2 linked regions of the Oryctolagus cuniculus genome follow. The protein of the gene in region 1 purifies or fractionates together with the protein of each later gene. This does not show direct contact. Links are inferred from orthologs where the notes say so. Each region holds a gene or a part of one and is shown on either strand. Other genes may lie near its edges. The genes, in order: NCBP1 and KPNA4.

Region 1 (3,822 bases):
TGCTCACATTGCAGGCACCCTAAACCCACCATGCCACAGTACCGGCTCCAAGTTATTTTTTTAATGCAGTTAATTTTTGAAGTTTAAAAAATGCACATACAATTAGTGGGTTTCATTTTAACGTCACATTATTAAAAGTACAGTTAATTTGCTTTAGAATTTTCAAGAGGAATACAGTTAATATTCAGGAACACATATCTTTAAAAAACTAATAAAAATCATTTTGCTGTGGTTATCCAAAAAACTCCTTCTCTTTTAAAAGCACTTAGTAGCATGGAATAGTGTTTATACTTAAACTCTTGTCAGAGGCTATGTTTGTTTAAGGCTGTACCAGTATTGCTTGGCACTATTTTTTAATTTGAGGTTTGGGGAGGTTTATAGGGAGTATGATTTCTGTCCAAGTATTTTTGAAGACCTAAATTGTCCCTAATGCTAGATACCTTAGGAAAACCTTTAACTAGATTTATAAATATGTAAGGTTATAAACTTATAAGAATCCCTTCCCCGTTGAATTATCTCAGGAGTCGCTTTAGTGTTTGAACTTATTTCTAAAGGCTGCCTAAATTATGAAGCAACAGTTGCTTCTTCTAAAGGTTTATTATTGTAATCCTCTCTCCTACTTTTCAAATAATTTTAATGAAATCAACAATGAGTACCAAGTTAAGATTTCAACAGTTTAAGTGATAGGAAATTAGTTGAAATTGGTTTTATTCTGCATCTTTTATAAGTGGCTAGAATAGTGTTTCTCAAAGTGGAATGGGTCCCATGACATTTGGTTAGTTAAGTTTTAAAACTCAGTGCTGTGCCATGTGCCACTCCCCCACCCTCTTAATGATTTTGCATTAAAGAAACTTGTTGTACCCAGAATCTTGTATTTTACCATGGAAGTCATGTCTGGGGAGCTGCTATTTGATTCTACTCAACATACTTGAAGAAAAACTGGTCTAGCGTGAGCTGTGGTATTTATTTCAGTGGTGAAATAACTTCACAATTAAACCGTTTTCTAATTTTTCTTTAAAGATTTTATATATTTGAGAAATAGTTACAGAGAGGCAAAGAGAGAGAGAGAGGTCTTCCATCCGCTGGTCAACTCTCCAATTGGCCGACCCGAAGCCAACCAGGAGCTTCCTCCAGGTCTCCCATATGGGTGCAGGGGCCCAAGCACTTGGGCCAACTTCTACTGCCTTCCCAGGCCACAGTAGAGAGCTGGATCGGAAGCAGAGCAGCGGGGACATGAACCTGCGCCCATATGGGATGCCGATGCTGCAGACCGGAGCTTCAACCCTCTGCCACAGCGCCAGCCCCAGTCTTTCCTAACTTTTTAATTAACTAGAATTAAAGTGAAAAAATTGGGAATCCATGTCTGCAGCTCTTCTTATGGACACATAAGCTTTTTATGGAATAGTTTTACAAACATAATGGTGATCCTATTCCAAAAGTAATGAATGATGAAACATTTATATGAAATTCAGCAAATTAATATAATGCCATTGTTTTGGGGGTTTCCTGTTGTACTGGTTCTCAAATCAGTGCACGTCTGTTACCTGAGAAGTTGACAATTTATACAACGTTGGTTGGACTGCTGAATGCCAGGAATTACAACTTTGGTGGAGAATTTGTAGAAGCTATGATTCGTCAACTTAAAGAATCATTGAAAGCAAACAATTATAATGAAGCTGTGTATTTGGTAAGTTTTTATTTCTATAATTTTGAAGTTTATTTGAGAAACGGAGCTCCCATTGGCTGGTTCAGTTCACAAATGCCCATGATGGCTGGGGCGGGAGGCCCAAACCTGGAGCCAGGAACTCGGTCCAGGTTTCCCATGTGGGTGGCAGGAGCCCAGGCATTCTGATGTGGATGCTGGTATCCTGACCTGTGTCTTAGCTGCTGGAGCGAGCACCACCCTTAACTTTTTATTTCTGTATATCATGACTTAGTGTTGGTATGGAGGAAAAAGGTAAGCACTAACTAAATACTGTGTCTTTTCTCTTGAGAGTCAGTCTCCTATTGACCCTAACAACTGCTCTTTTAAAACCGTTCTCATTAAAGGCACCACAGAGCTCAATACCAAATCCAGGGTCTTTTTTCACTCGGAATCCTAGCTGGTTTCCCTGTATCACCTGCCACCTCCTTTTTTTTTTTTTTTTTTTTTTTTTTTTGTTAATAGGCAGAGTTAGTGAGAGAGACAGAGAAAGGTCTTCCTTCCATTGGTTTACCCCCCAGATGGCTGCTACAGCCGGCGTGCTGCACCAATCCGAAGCCAGGAACCAGGTGCTTCCTCCTGGTCTCCCATGCGGATGCAGGGGCCCAAGCACCTGGGCCATTCTCCACTGCCTTCCCGGGCCACAGCAACCAGGACAGAACCCGGCGCACCAACCGGGACTAGAACCCGCGGCGCCAGCTGCCACCTCCCTTCTATTCCTCATCTTTTACTGGGTCATCTTCCTTTAAACACTCTGCTAGCTTCATAAACCACCTTTGTTTTGATGCTGCCCCCAAATCTGAAAGTGTTTCTCCAGTTTCAAACTTTCTCATAAGTACCAGACCTGTATTTCAAATGTTCCCTGCAAAGCTCTAAGATAACCTTACCTGGAAATCCTTAAATTAATGTCAGTCACATTTCCTTTTTATCTCCTCAACTCACAGTGGCCACTGTCTACTTGGTGACCCACCCAGAAACCTGAGTGTTAACTTTTGTCTTCCTTTTGTCTTTTGAGTTGTTTGCAGCCTACAGTTCTGCCTCCTAAATTTCTCTCATATTTGTTCCTTCTCTATCTCAAGGGCTACCAGTGTACTTCACACCTTCCTCCTCGTGTTCATAAGATCTCTTTAATTTTTTCACATCTAAATTTTCTTTCAGTCTTTCTGCAGTGACACCAAAGTGTTCTTTGTGTTCAGCTCATGGTGGTTGGTGTCTAAAACCCCAATTCCTTCCCATTGTCCTCAGTGATCATAAATCCTGGGGAAAAGGTGATTGACTGGGTTGCAGAAAGTAAATATTAGAACTCATTTATTATAAATGGAATTAAGCCTTAATGTCTAAAACATAAATTGGTAGTGATCCAGTATATATTGTAAATATACCTGTGTTGGAGATAAGGGATCAGATTCTTTTTATGAAGTATACTGTCAGAGTCTGGACCCTCATCAGGCTATAAGACTGAGGTCCAGACTCTAGCTGGACCCTTAGTGGTTGCCCTGATCTGTTTCTTCGTACCTCCTACACTCTCCGCTGTGTCAAAATTACCTGCTCCCTAGTTTGCCCTCTCTGCTCACTGCTTGAGGGGTATGTACCTGTTAGGACCTAAGCTAGTTACTGCCTTTATGATGCTGACCCTACTCACTCTGTCACTGTTCTTATAGCACTTTGATTTGCCTCTCAGTAGAGGACTCATCCCTTTGTGTGAGAATGTGCCTGCCAGGATCTTACCTGTAACAGGAACTTTAGAAGTGCTTACCAGTGGCCACAAAGGGCACCCAATAAATTAAACAGATTTTCCATTATTATGGTTCAGGAAAATTATAGCCAAATGGGAAAGGACTTTGTAGGTGATGTCACTAAGATATTTACAGGCTGAGCTCTTAGTGTCGTGTAGCATGGGAACCTGTGAGCTCAGGTTTTCTGTTCTTCATGTGGTCTCTCTCACAGCTACTCAGCTCTGCCATTGTAGCACTAAAGCTACCATGGACAGTGTATAACTGAGCATGACTATCTTCCAGTAAAAATTAACTGGGTGCTGAAATTTGGGTTTCAAGTAATTTGTGTTAGAAAATACTCTTTCCCACCCCCACCCCCCCCAAGAATTTAAAACCTGAAAGCTT
Region 2 (3,822 bases), on another chromosome or scaffold:
AAACTAGGGAATATAATAGGTAAGGGACTATCCATGTGTGAAATATAGATAGCAATAATCAGAAAGTAATGTGTTTCTTTAAAAAACGATTTGCTATGGTGATAGCAGTGTTTGATGAGCTATTTCATTTCTTTACAGTTTTAGGATTATACTTTTTTTTTGCCAGAATCCCCTAAAAGTATGTAGAACAAATTAAAATCAGAATTTTGCTACATCAAGTAGTGATATAATGTACAAAATTTATTAAACATGCTCTTTGCTCTAAAGATGTTTTTTAAGCGCCAGATAGTCTGATTGAATCAGATAGATCTTAAATATTTATATAAGCATTTTTTGTTTTTGGTTCCTGAAAGCCACGTTCCTTGACTGAAGTATAAATTTCAACATTTTTCTTTTAAAATATTCATAAAAAAAGATTAATCTCAAAGTTATACTACCACTAAAAAACCAGACATCTTCATTTACTTTATTCAGAGATGCATTATGTTTCTTTACCTCAATCTAGGTGAGATTCTGATTACATTTATCTTTATTTTTTATGTGCCTTGAATTTCTCAAGCCAGTCTATATTGTTGTTTTTAGTTACATATTTAATTAATAATATTATTTACTAAATAGTGATGTTTATTAGAGTCATCTTGGGTAGACATTTAGCAGTGTGTTCTTAAGTCAAGCCATCAAAGAACTAAAGATAAAACTAGTTAACTGCTTCTACAAGCCATAACTAAAGCACCAACATTACATTTAGTTGTAATTGGTAAACTTACAGAATACAAACTTTGTCACAAAAGAATATATGAAATCTAGTTTGATTTAAATCGTGATTTTTTCCCCCAGAAACCTTTTATTTAAGGTATATAACTTCATGCATTTCATAAATACAACTTTAGGAACATAGATATTCTTCCCTTCGTACCTGCCCTTCCACCCTTCTTCCTACTCCCTCTCCTATTCCCATTCTTATTTTTTACTAAAATCTATTTTCATTTAACTTTATACACAGAAGATTAACTCTGTACTAAGTAAAATGTTCAACAAATAGTATTAAAAAAAAAACTGTTACTCAACAGTTTTTTGATTTCTCTTTGGATTTTTTTCTATGACCCACTGTTCATTCAGGAGCATGTTTTTCAATTTGCATGTGATCTAGAGATTCTTAAGTTCTTGATTTCCAACTTCATTCCATTGTGGTCAGAGAAGATGGCATAGTATGATTTTGAATTTGCTAAGACTTGCTTTATGGCTTATCATGTGGTCCATCCTAGAGAAAGTTCCGTGCACTGGTGAGAAGAATGTGTATTCTGCAACTGTAGGATGAAAAGTTCTGAAAATATCTGTTAGATCCACGTGGTCTATAGTTTTGATTAACTATTTCCTTGCTGATTTTCTGTCTGAATGATCTTTCCATTTTTAAAGTGGGGTATTGAAGTCCCCCATTACTATTGTATTGGAGTTTTTTTTTTTTCTCCCTTTAGATCCTTAACATTTCTTTTAAATAGCCAGGTGCCCTGTAATTAGATTTGTATACATTTATTGTCACATCTTCCTGTTGAGTTGAACCCTTAATCATTGCATAGTGCCCTCTTTGTCTCTTTTGACAGTTTTTGTGTTAAAAACTGTTTTGTCTGATACCAGGATGGCTATACGAGCTCTTTTTTGGTTTCTGTTAACGTAGAATATCGTCTATGCTTTCACTTTCAGCCTGCATTTATCTTTGTTGGTGAGATATGTTTCTTGTAGACAACAAGTAGATGAGTTTTATTTTTTAATCTATTCAGCCAGTCTGTATCTTTTATCTGGAGATTGAGGCCATTTACATTCAAGGTGCCTATTGGCCCTGATGTTTTCCATAAATATTCCTATTGCTTACTTTTTATTTCCTTTGTTCTCGTGCTGGGAGATTTTCTTTCATAGTGATGACTGTGTTTCTGTGTGTAGCACATCTTAAGCATCTCTTGTAAGGCTAGATGAGTGGTGACAAATTCTTTGAATTTCTGTTTGTTATAGAAGGTCTTTTATTTCACCTTCATTCCTAAATGAGAGCTTTGCCAGGGTACAGTATTCTGGGTTGACAGTTTTTTTTTCTCTTTAGACTTGGAATATATCTCACCATTCTCTCCTAGCCTGCAGGGTTTCTGATGAGAAGTCGGCTGTGAGTATAATTGGAGATCCTCTGAAAGTAATCTGGAGTTTCTCTCGTGTTCATTTTTTTACTGTGGAGAGTTTGAGTACAATGTGTCATGGTGAGGATCTTTTCTGGTCATATCTATTAGGAGTTCTATGTGCTTCTTGTACTTGGAGGCCCCTTTCTCCAAATTTGGGAAGTTTTTCTGTAATTATTTCACTAAAAAGGCCTTGTAATCCGTTCTCTTTCCTCACCTTCAGGAACTCCTGTGTCCTGTATGTTTTGTGGTTTGATAGTATTCCATGAATCTCCAACACTGTTTTTTAATTTTCTTATTTCTTCTTTTTTTTTTTTGGTCTAAAATCTCCAGAGATTTGTCTTCTAACTTGGATATTCTTTCTGCTGCCTTACCGAGTCTGTTGTTAAGGCTTTCCACCACATTTTTTATTTGATCTATTGAATTCATCATTTCCAATATTTCATTTTCATTTCTCTTTAAATTCTCAATTTCATGGGAAAATTTTTTTATTTGTGTCATGTATATATTACTTTAATTCGTGGATTTGCTTCTGATTACTTCTGAGTAATCCTATAATCTATAATTTAAATTCCATTTCCAGCATTTCTTCAGTCTCTTCATTTTCACATTGTATTTTTGAAGTGTTGGTGTGTTTCTTTGAAGGCGTCATGTGAGAGAAGAAAACAAGTGGTAGAACAATCTTAGATTAATTGTATGGTTAAGAATTACTAAAATGAGAAAATATTCAAATGCTCTTTGAATTCTCATTTTACTCATTAGATTTTGGTAGATACAGTGTGGGCCCTCTCTTACCTTACTGATGCTGGCAATGAACAGATACAGATGGTAATAGACTCTGGAATAGTTCCTCATTTGGTTCCTCTGCTCAGCCATCAGGAAGTTAAAGTTCAGGTAAGTTTGTTCGTGATAAAAAATTTTAAGTTTTTCTAATAATAATTGCTGTAAACATGACATTCAGAGCCAAACAATTTCAATAGTTTAAAGGATATTCTTAGCATGACAGCATGTCTGTGATGGTAAGAGTAAATTATTTTATTCCCATTTTAAAGGTGGAAAAAAATGAGGTAAGGATACTACAGCTTGAACCTACCTTTCCCCACCCTCTCTGAAAAATACATATTTAGGAAGAGACTCCTTTGTAGAATACAGATTTGTATTATAGGCAATTCAGTTTAGCAGCTTGAGTGCAATCAAACAGGTGTTGATACTTAGAATTCCTACTCCTTTTCTTATTTTTCTTCCTCTTCCACAGTCCAATTCCCCCCACCCCCCATTCCGCCCTGTCCCTTTTTACTGATCTGGAAAGTTTGGTTCGCTCTTAGCTTCACTGGCACTTATAAAGACTTTGTGCAAAAAGGTTTTGTGCAGATAAATGCTACTTAGCTCCCTAAATTGTTTTCACCATCTTAAACTTTTTTAAGCTTGTTTTTTTATTTTATTCAATTGTTCTTAAATCCTCTTACACAGTATTTATCTGAAAGAACCTATATGTAGTGTCAAAAGAGAGGATGAGAAGTTCACACAAATAGAAGTAATAACTGTCAAACTGCAATGGTAAAGGGATATGCAGCATGTTCTCTAATTTTCTGAGGTAAATAGAATGTTTTATGTGGCAATGACTTAGAGTCTGTAAAGTATAGTAATAGCATAAGAAAAA

Evidence for each region.
Region 2: the proteins of NCBP1 (region 1) and KPNA4 purify together in Homo sapiens (co-immunoprecipitation; 3 studies listed by BioGRID and IntAct, with this or other methods). This does not show direct contact. The link is inferred for Oryctolagus cuniculus from reciprocal best matches to the Homo sapiens genes NCBP1 and KPNA4.

What each region holds. Positions count from the first base shown.
Region 1 is NC_091432.1:201,441,531-201,445,352, forward strand, and holds part of NCBP1 (nuclear cap-binding protein subunit 1), read left to right. Parts: intron 1-1,530; coding exon 1,531-1,687; intron 1,688-3,822. UniProt on the Homo sapiens protein: Component of the cap-binding complex (CBC), which binds cotranscriptionally to the 5'-cap of pre-mRNAs and is involved in various processes such as pre-mRNA splicing, translation regulation, nonsense-mediated mRNA decay, RNA-mediated gene silencing (RNAi) by microRNAs (miRNAs) and mRNA export.
Region 2 is NC_091435.1:120,225,513-120,229,334, forward strand, and holds part of KPNA4 (importin subunit alpha-3), read left to right. Parts: intron 1-2,924; coding exon 2,925-3,056; intron 3,057-3,822. UniProt on the Homo sapiens protein: Functions in nuclear protein import as an adapter protein for nuclear receptor KPNB1. Binds specifically and directly to substrates containing either a simple or bipartite NLS motif.